Linked DNA regions of Xenopus tropicalis. The protein of the gene in region 1 interacts with the protein of each later gene in a biochemical or structural test. Links are inferred from orthologs where the notes say so. Each region holds a gene or a part of one and is shown in the gene's direction. Other genes may lie near its edges.

Region 1 (4,212 bases):
TGGTACTCCATGATTTATAACATAGATATAAAGCTGTGTAATGAACTATGGCATTTGTGTGAGGTGTAAACTTGTGGAGTAAACAGAGGTTCTACCTCTAACTAAGGTAAATTGCATTAAATGGAACTGGGTGCTGTTGGTTTTTACAGGGCTGCGTACACTACTTTGTACACAAGAAATTCTAATCTATTTGAACTTGTTTCATTGGAGACAATGGCTGATGTCAGGTCTGAAGTGGTAACAGATTGGTGTCATTTTCATTCAGCATTAGAGTGTTGTTTAAAGGAGCAGTAATGTCAAAAAATTAAACATGCAGCTTCATTAAGTGTGTTCTTAAACAACATGAAATGAAAAATGAAACATGCAGCTTCATATAGTTATATAGTAGAGAATGTTGAAAAAATACACATACCCATTCAGTTCAAACTGCCTGGAAAATCTTTTTTTCCCGCTTTATTATGGCACTGCACTCTTTCCTACAAGCATAGCTTTCCTACCCTATAATCCTCTGCAACAAAGCATCACAATTTTTTCCTTAAAAACCTGCAATGAACGAGAATGGCTTCTCTCCTTACACCCCTCTAATGCTACAGCAGTGTAATGGAAAAAAACTTTTTCTCCTCCCATGCCTTGTAATGGAACAGCTCTTCTTCCAACTTTTTGTAATAGGATAGTTTTTCTTCACAACCATGTTACACAATAGCACCGTTTATTATAATTTGCATCTTTCCCTCTGATCCCCTTGCTCCCCAGTAATGCACAATATAGCACTCCAATACCCTACATGGCTGAAGAACAATTTAACAATTTTAAAATTAGAAATTCATCCGTGAGAATGATTCACATGTGGAACTCTCCTTGCCAGCAGTTTTATTATATCTGCCCTGTAGTTTGTGTTTTAGCATGTTTTGCTGTTTCTTTGGAAAAGGAGTCTAAACCTTTAAAGATAATTTAACTATAACCATGTTAAAGATTCATGCTCCCAGTAAGATTTGAAACATTTTCTTAACTAAGCTTGGGGTGTGTATGATTAAGAAGTGTAAATCACAGATACAGATTTCTATATACAGGCACCCCCTTATAACTATGAGGTGTATGTAATATGATTTCTGCTCTTGTCTGTACAAGGGATTAGAGTCATTCTGCATTCCTATCCCATAATAGAACTCAGGATTAAAATTATCAGCATTCTCATATCAGTATTATCATTAGACAAGAACTAGCCCAAAAGACAGGTGCAGTTTAGGCCTCCCCCACTCTCTAATATCAGAACAAAGAGTTTTTCCTCTTTGCCAGACCATCTGGTATTAAAAGTGTTGGTGGGCGTGGTGCTCTATTGTGTTCAAAATCCTGGGTTAAAAATCCTTACACAGTGAAGGCAGTACAGAATTTGTGCACTCTTCATTCAGTGAAGGCTCTGTAGATAGGTAAGTGTCCAGAAGTATTATTATAGTTTTTTTTCTTATACATTGTTACTTACTCATGTCTTGTTACATTGTATACAACTTGGTATTCTCTTTTAAAGAGAGAAAGATTGAAAATATTGTGCAAGGTTAAGCTAAAATCACATATATCACAACAGCCTCTCTATTTATGCTGGCATTTTTGGAATGTTGCCATTTTTATTATTGATAGATATATAATTAAAATTGTTTCATCCATTTAATCATCACCAACATAATGAAAATGATATTTAATTATGGTTAAAATAAGATTTTACAAACATACTCAATGCTTAGTATAGTCAGATTTATACAATGTCTATGCCTCTATGCACCCAGGCCATTTGTTTCTGGGGAGAAACTTTCTCCCCAGTGTATAAACTTGAGTCCTAAATGCAGTCTCTGATTTTTTGCATAATCACAACTTTGCATCCCTCTTTCAACGGAATACATCAGCTTCTGTATCTCTCTCCCTACCAATACACCAGACATGTTATTTCTTTCCACCAGTATATCAGCTTCTACATCTCTTTCATAACATGCATTACTCTGCAACATAGGGGCACATTTACTTATCCACGAACGCTCCCAGCGTTCGTTCGTTCGTTCGTTCATTCGATCGGTCGGTCCAATCGTATTTTCTGCAACTTTTTCGTACCTTGCGCGACTTTTCCTTTTTTTTAGTGCAAAAAAATCGGCTCGGCTTTGCCGCTGTTTACAATCTTTATGTACGAAAATTTCGTGACTTTCAGATCACCAATACAATATTATCATGACTAATACGATTTTTTCGTGATATTTGTAATCTTTTTCCCATTCGGGATTTGAACTCGTGTTTTGATAAATCTGCCCCTAAGTCTTATCAAATGCTTAGCTCCATTTTTCCCACTCAGAATCTCTCTCTTTCATCTTTCTCCCTATGAATGCATCAGCCTCTCCATCTTCCTCTTAATCATGTAAATAAGTCTCTGTAATGACCATAATTTGCCATAGCTTCTGCACTGATTAAACTAGGTTTGTTAGTCTCTAGTGCTTTATTCTTATACAACACAATTTCCCTTATTCTACACTTTTTCCTCTCTCCATATATAAATTTCTGCATACCCCTGTCTAGGGGTATTTTTTTATTTGTTTTTTTTTTTTTGTTTTTTTAAATGAGAGTACCTTTTACTACACTTATTACTGCAAAGATATTTGAAATTAAATAAAATGTCACTAATTAGTCATGGCAATCATAGAGATAATCTACATGGGAGACTTTGTAGGATGGTGTTGGATTGACGCAATGCATTTTACAAGCTGGATGTAGTTGCGTTGGTTAAAATGTTATGTGACTAATAGAAAAATCTGATGTGTAAAGTATTTGGAACATTTGAGATCTGACAAGACACATCCATTGGAAGGGAAGGCTGCACAGTGCATCTGCATCCACCAAGATTGTCAGATGTAGATGCAGGAACAAAAGACAACATCCAACAGATAAAATCTGATCAAAAGGCTTTAAAGGAACAGTAACACCAAAAAATGTATATATTTTAAAGAAATTAAACTATAATGTACTGCTGCCCTGCACTGGTAAAAGTTGTGTGTTTGCTTCAGAAACATTACTAGAGTTTATATAAAATCTGGTGTGTAGCCATGGGGGCATCCATTCAAAAGAAGAAAAGGCACAGGTTTTATAGCAGCTAACAGATAAACCCTGTAGAATACAATGGTGTCTTATCTGTTATCTGCTATGTAACCTGTGCCTTTTCTCCTTTTTTCCACCTTGAATGGCTTCCCCCATGGCTACACAGCAGCTTATTTATTAACTATAGTAGTGTTCCTGAAGCAAACACCTCAGTTTTACCATTGCAGGGCAACAGTACCTTATATTTCAGTTACTTTAAAACACTTTCATTTTTTGGTGTTACTGTTCCTTTAAAGCAATTTGTGAGTGCTGTTGTTACTCCATTTTGTATTGGTATGCCTTACAAGATTTGCTAATTAGTGTCGCAGGTGAGGATTATATACATTTTAAGGGAAACTACTTTTTGGGCATTACAGCAGTGAATGCTTTATTATTATTTTTCAGAAACATCAGTTTCAGCATTTTTTCTTATAGTTTCTGAAATATAAATGTTTATTAGCATGCTTAATAATCCAATTTTTCCCACTGTAAATGAGATCATTCTGTTTTTGAGTATTAGATTGCAAATTGTTGCAGTCATGCTGGATTCAGCCAGCTGCTCTGTCAGTGACTGACTGTATGAATGTGTTGGTTGTGATATTTCTTACTATTTTTAGAATTAAAAAACAAGTTACATGGTTAATACTCCAGCTGATAAAATTAAGGGTTCTGGCAGTTAGCAGAGATGCTTATTTAAAGTTATTGGTTGATGGTGAGACCTTTGTCCTGGTTGGTGTGGTGAGCCCTTAACCAAAGTCCAACACAGGCTGGAGTCAATCTTGTTTTGAATCCCACTACTATTAATTTTGCTTTTGTAAAACATAGCTATATACTGCTCCTTTAAACAGAACCTAAATCATTGGGGATGCCAAATTGTTAGGCATCCCACAGTAACTAAAATTGCAAACCTCCTCAATGAACAGGCCTGTGTACTCCTACCTGGTATTCCTTGTGTGCCCTAACAAATTGGCAACTAGCAATGATTCTAGTTTCTAAAGTTGGTTTTGCTCAGTAAACCCCCGTATGTAATAAAAAGCACTATGTTTGCCCAGCAGTATTAACCTATAGCAATCAATAAAATGCTTGCCTTTAAAAATGAAG
Region 2 (4,267 bases), on another chromosome or scaffold:
GTGGGATAGCAGGTATAGTAGGGAGAGATGGTGCCTATAGTAGCAGTGGGGGGATAATAGCCTCTGGGAAGGGACTGTGGCTGTGGGATAGCAGGTATAGTAGGGAGAGATGGTGCCTATAGTAGCAGTGGGATAATAGCCTCTGGGAAGGGAATGTGGCTGTGGGATAACAGGTATAGTAGGGAGAGATGGTGCCTATAGTAGCAGTGGGATAATAGCCTCTGGGAAGGGACTGTGGCTGTGGGATAGCAGGTATAGTAGGGAGAGATGGTGCCTATAGTAGCAGTGGGGGATAATAGCCTCTGGGAAGGGACTGTGGCTGTGGGATAGCAGGTATAGTAGGAAGAGATGGTGCCTATAGCAGCAGTGGGGATAATAGCCTCTGGGAAGGGACTGGGGCTGTGGGATAGCAGGTATAGTAGGAAGAGATGGTGCCTATAGCAGCAGTGGGGATAATAGCCTCTGGGAAGGGACTGGGGCTGTGGGATAGCAGGTATAGTAGGGAGAGATGGTGCCTATAGTAGCAGTGGGGATAATAGTCTCTGGGAAGGGACTGGGGCTGTGGGATAGCAGGTATAGTAGGGAGAGGTGGTGCCTATAGTATTATCCTATAGTTTTCACACAATTTAATATATTCATTTTACTTTAGTTTTTGTTTTTCTTCCCTAGAACTTTAAGCCTATAGTATAGGACAGTGTCAGTCACAACACACAAAATCTTGTCACTGCTCCCTTTAGCAAGCTATGGGAAACATGCTGGCGGTGACCAGTAGCCTCGGCTCAGAGACACTTGCTTTAGCACCTGTCAGTAGTAGCAGTGTTTCTGTAGGCGAAAACATATGGCATTCCCTCTAAACTCTGAGAATGAATTCCAGCATTTTGTTTGTTTTGACACATTTAGAACTCTTTAAAGAACTCTTTTCAGTCGTGCAGTGAATTTATCTTTTAGCCAAGACGGGGGGTGAGGATGCAGCACAGACAGCTGGTACCAGGAACAGCATGAAATGTTATATATATGAAATAAAGGAAAAATATCCTATAGAAAAGGGTTTTTGCTCTCTGTTTTGTGAAAAGCAGCAGGGAGGGTGCAGGTCGGACAGCTCCTATGTATCTGACAGTTATTTCAGAATATAGAAATAAATGGACAGCATACAGTACAAAAGAATAAAATGGTTTTGAAGTGATGATATTTCCCTTATTGAATATGTTAGTACCAACCTGTGGCCTCCATCTCTGAAAAAGGAAATCTTTGGCCACACAGCTCCTGCTGGGTATATAAATAAATGCACTTGAAACCATGAGGTGGGCTCTTTTGTCTTCCCAAGGGGATGTCCTGGAAAGTGTCCATTGATAGGGGAAGGCTGACGTGTGGCTCAGGAGGAGCAAACAGTGCCGGGGGGGGGGGGGGGGGGGGGTATATAAACTGAGCCATCAGCTGTCACCAGTGTTGCACAATTGGCTCCTGGGCTCCTGACCAGCATCACTCACAATGGATGATATTTACAAAGCAGCGGTATGTGCTCAACTTTCTGCATTCTCTTTAACCTACTCCTTACAGCTGAAAGCTCGCTCATCAGCCCGTCTCCTGGGGCTCCTTCTGGGTTGGTGCTGATGCAGGGGTTGCAATATAGATCGGCATTTGTATACAACTTGTTCAGTTCCCTTGGTTTTAGGAAGGGTGAGATTCCTGTAAATATTAATATACTAAGTACACTGTGCACTGACCATATTGTTACAGGAATTACCTTTAACAATGAATTATGACTGCTCATATGGTCAAAGCACAATAACTTTAAAGGATTCTATCACCTTGTTATTATACTTTGTAGAGCTCCTTCAGCTGCATTACTGGGGATGTTCATTTACAAATGGGATTCAGATCCCAAATCAGATTCTGCTGCTGTTTGACTGCTGTCTATGGGAAATATTGTCAGTTGCTGCATATATTCATGTAAAATGGAAATGTACAGTATAACTATGAACATTTAAAATGTATTCTCTTAAACAGTGCTTAATGATGATACTTGTGTCACATGACTGGCTGAAACATGTATGTTATAATAATGTCCCCCAGAACTTCATGACCTGTATAATCTGTATGGTCATGGATCTCCTAGGTGTCTTTTAATATCCTGATAGTTTACAATTAGGGGTAAATCATTTTCTGTATAAACTTACACATTATCTGCAGTAACACAGGGAAGACATCTCTGAAATAGAAACTGTAAATGCCTTATTTTAATCAGATGAATAGAGATTTATGACAGGTTTAATTGTGTGCTAGATAATGAATAATATAGCATATGTAACATAGCATCATCTAGGGATTTGTGCAGGTCTGTAGGGCTCAGTAAGGACCTATACAACATCCCGCAGGGTACTGGTACTGGCCTAAACGCACAGGGGGCCAATGAAACTGTAGCAGCATCATTTTCCCATATAGCTGCATTCTGCATATTAATGGTCGGAGGATATTGAAATACCAAATGTCATTAATAGGGATGCACTGAATCTACTATTTTGGGACTTGGCTAAACCCTGAATCCTTCATGAAATTTTCAGCCGAATCCCGAACCAAATCCTAATTTCCATAGTCAAATGAGGCTAGGGATGGGACAAAGAGAACCGTGCTCACAGAGTGTGCCTAAAAACTTCATCTTTATGTGATGAAAAGTCACATGATATTAAGGATTTGAATTTGGCAAATGGATTTGGCCAAATCTGAATTGTGCTGAAAAACTCCAAATTTTGGTGGAATCCCGGACCGAATCCTCGATTCAGTGCATCCCTAGAGCTCATTACCAGGGGCAGGCTCAGACTGGCAATCTGTAGATTCTGGGAAATGCCAGAGGGGCTGCTGTAAGGTGCCATAGACAGTCACTATTTATTGGGCTGGTGGGGGCTGTTTGGGCTTCTGTGTACTTGAAATGCCAGTGCCTATTTTGTATCCCATTCCAGACCTGAACAGGAGTGTGAAAAATCATAGCCAGGCATAGTCTACAATGGGCCAGTATGAAATAATATACAGCATGTTTCATCATGTATAGAACCCTCTTGCAGAGTTGGTACCATGTAATGCCCCTAATGCAATGTTGAGTTTGAAGGGGAGTGTACAGTGTCCTACTATTGGAGATATCAGGAGATTTAGATGGAAGTACAGGTACTTTGCAGTAATTATATTACAGAGAATGAGCCACATTGCACTCACACTCACTGTCCTTCACTTCTCCTTGTCCTGCATATACCAGCTGCATGCACAGCACTCCAACGCCCCCCTGACCCACACATACACACTGACTTTATGGTGGGGCTATACAAACTCTACAGGGATAATGGGCATTTTGCCTGTCTATCTGTATATTCATTTGTTTGTTTAAATACTGCCCCTCCATCTACCAGAGCATCCATATATCTCTGTCTTTCTGTCCGTCTTTTCAAGGGTAAGATTTATTGAAAATATCTATTTGGGCTTAAGCTGACTGTACACTTATTAACGTACTTTCTGGCATGGTCACCAAATGAGCATATCTGTCTGTCTGATTTGGTCACTTACATGCCAGGCCAAATTGGGCTGATCTGATTGGCTGCACCAATGCACTAATTTGCCCTAAATTGCCTTGAATTTTCTAACCTGCCCACTATATATATGATCTTGGGGCTGCTGCCAGCTGAGGCCAATGCCGCCCCTCTCTCTCATTCCATGCTTACAATTCTAGCAGCAGAGTGGGTCTAGTGGGGCTGCATTGGTATGCAGTGCTATTACACTCTCTGCACTGGCAGAGCTGAATTTTCATTTTAAAACATGAAAATTCTGTTTTTAAAGTTACCAGAGGTGGCTTTTTGCCACCACTAGTAACTGGCTGCTTCCTGCCACCTAAGGCAAGGTTCTGACCCAGACCAATGAGCTGGTATCCTAGATGCCAGTCAGAGTAAGGTTTGGGGTGTCTTACTAACTATAACAAATACAAAAATGCTTTCATGTGTCAGCAAATTGTTATAGGCTAAAGAGAGTCGTTACCAAATGTTGGATATCAAAGTGGGGGCTTGAACTCCCCCCAAAGATCAAAAAGCCAGTGGCTTAACAGATAACCATAGTCTGAAATAGCCTATGGTTGCCGCCTGGCTAGTGTTTACCTGATTAGCTAGCAAATATCAGGCTTAAATGATAAAGAAAGGTTAATATATTGGGCTGTACCAATATGTTAGGTACCATCTAGTGTGTTAAAGGAACAGTAACACCAAAAAATGAAAGTGTATAAAAGTAACTA

The links.
Region 2: the proteins of tnni1 (region 1) and tnnc1 are reported together in a solved structure, tested with the Homo sapiens proteins (2 studies listed by BioGRID, with this or other methods). The link is inferred for Xenopus tropicalis from reciprocal best matches to the Homo sapiens genes TNNI1 and TNNC1.

The regions. Positions count from the first base shown.
Region 1 is NC_030678.2:63,724,777-63,728,988, reverse strand, and holds the start of tnni1 (troponin I, slow skeletal muscle), read left to right. Parts: upstream 1-1,412; 5' UTR 1,413-1,427; intron 1,428-4,212. UniProt on the Homo sapiens protein: Troponin I is the inhibitory subunit of troponin, the thin filament regulatory complex which confers calcium-sensitivity to striated muscle actomyosin ATPase activity.
Region 2 is NC_030680.2:128,884,748-128,889,014, forward strand, and holds the start of tnnc1 (troponin C, slow skeletal and cardiac muscles), read left to right. Parts: upstream 1-1,467; 5' UTR 1,468-1,488; coding exon 1,489-1,512; intron 1,513-4,267. UniProt on the Homo sapiens protein: Troponin is the central regulatory protein of striated muscle contraction. Tn consists of three components: Tn-I which is the inhibitor of actomyosin ATPase, Tn-T which contains the binding site for tropomyosin and Tn-C.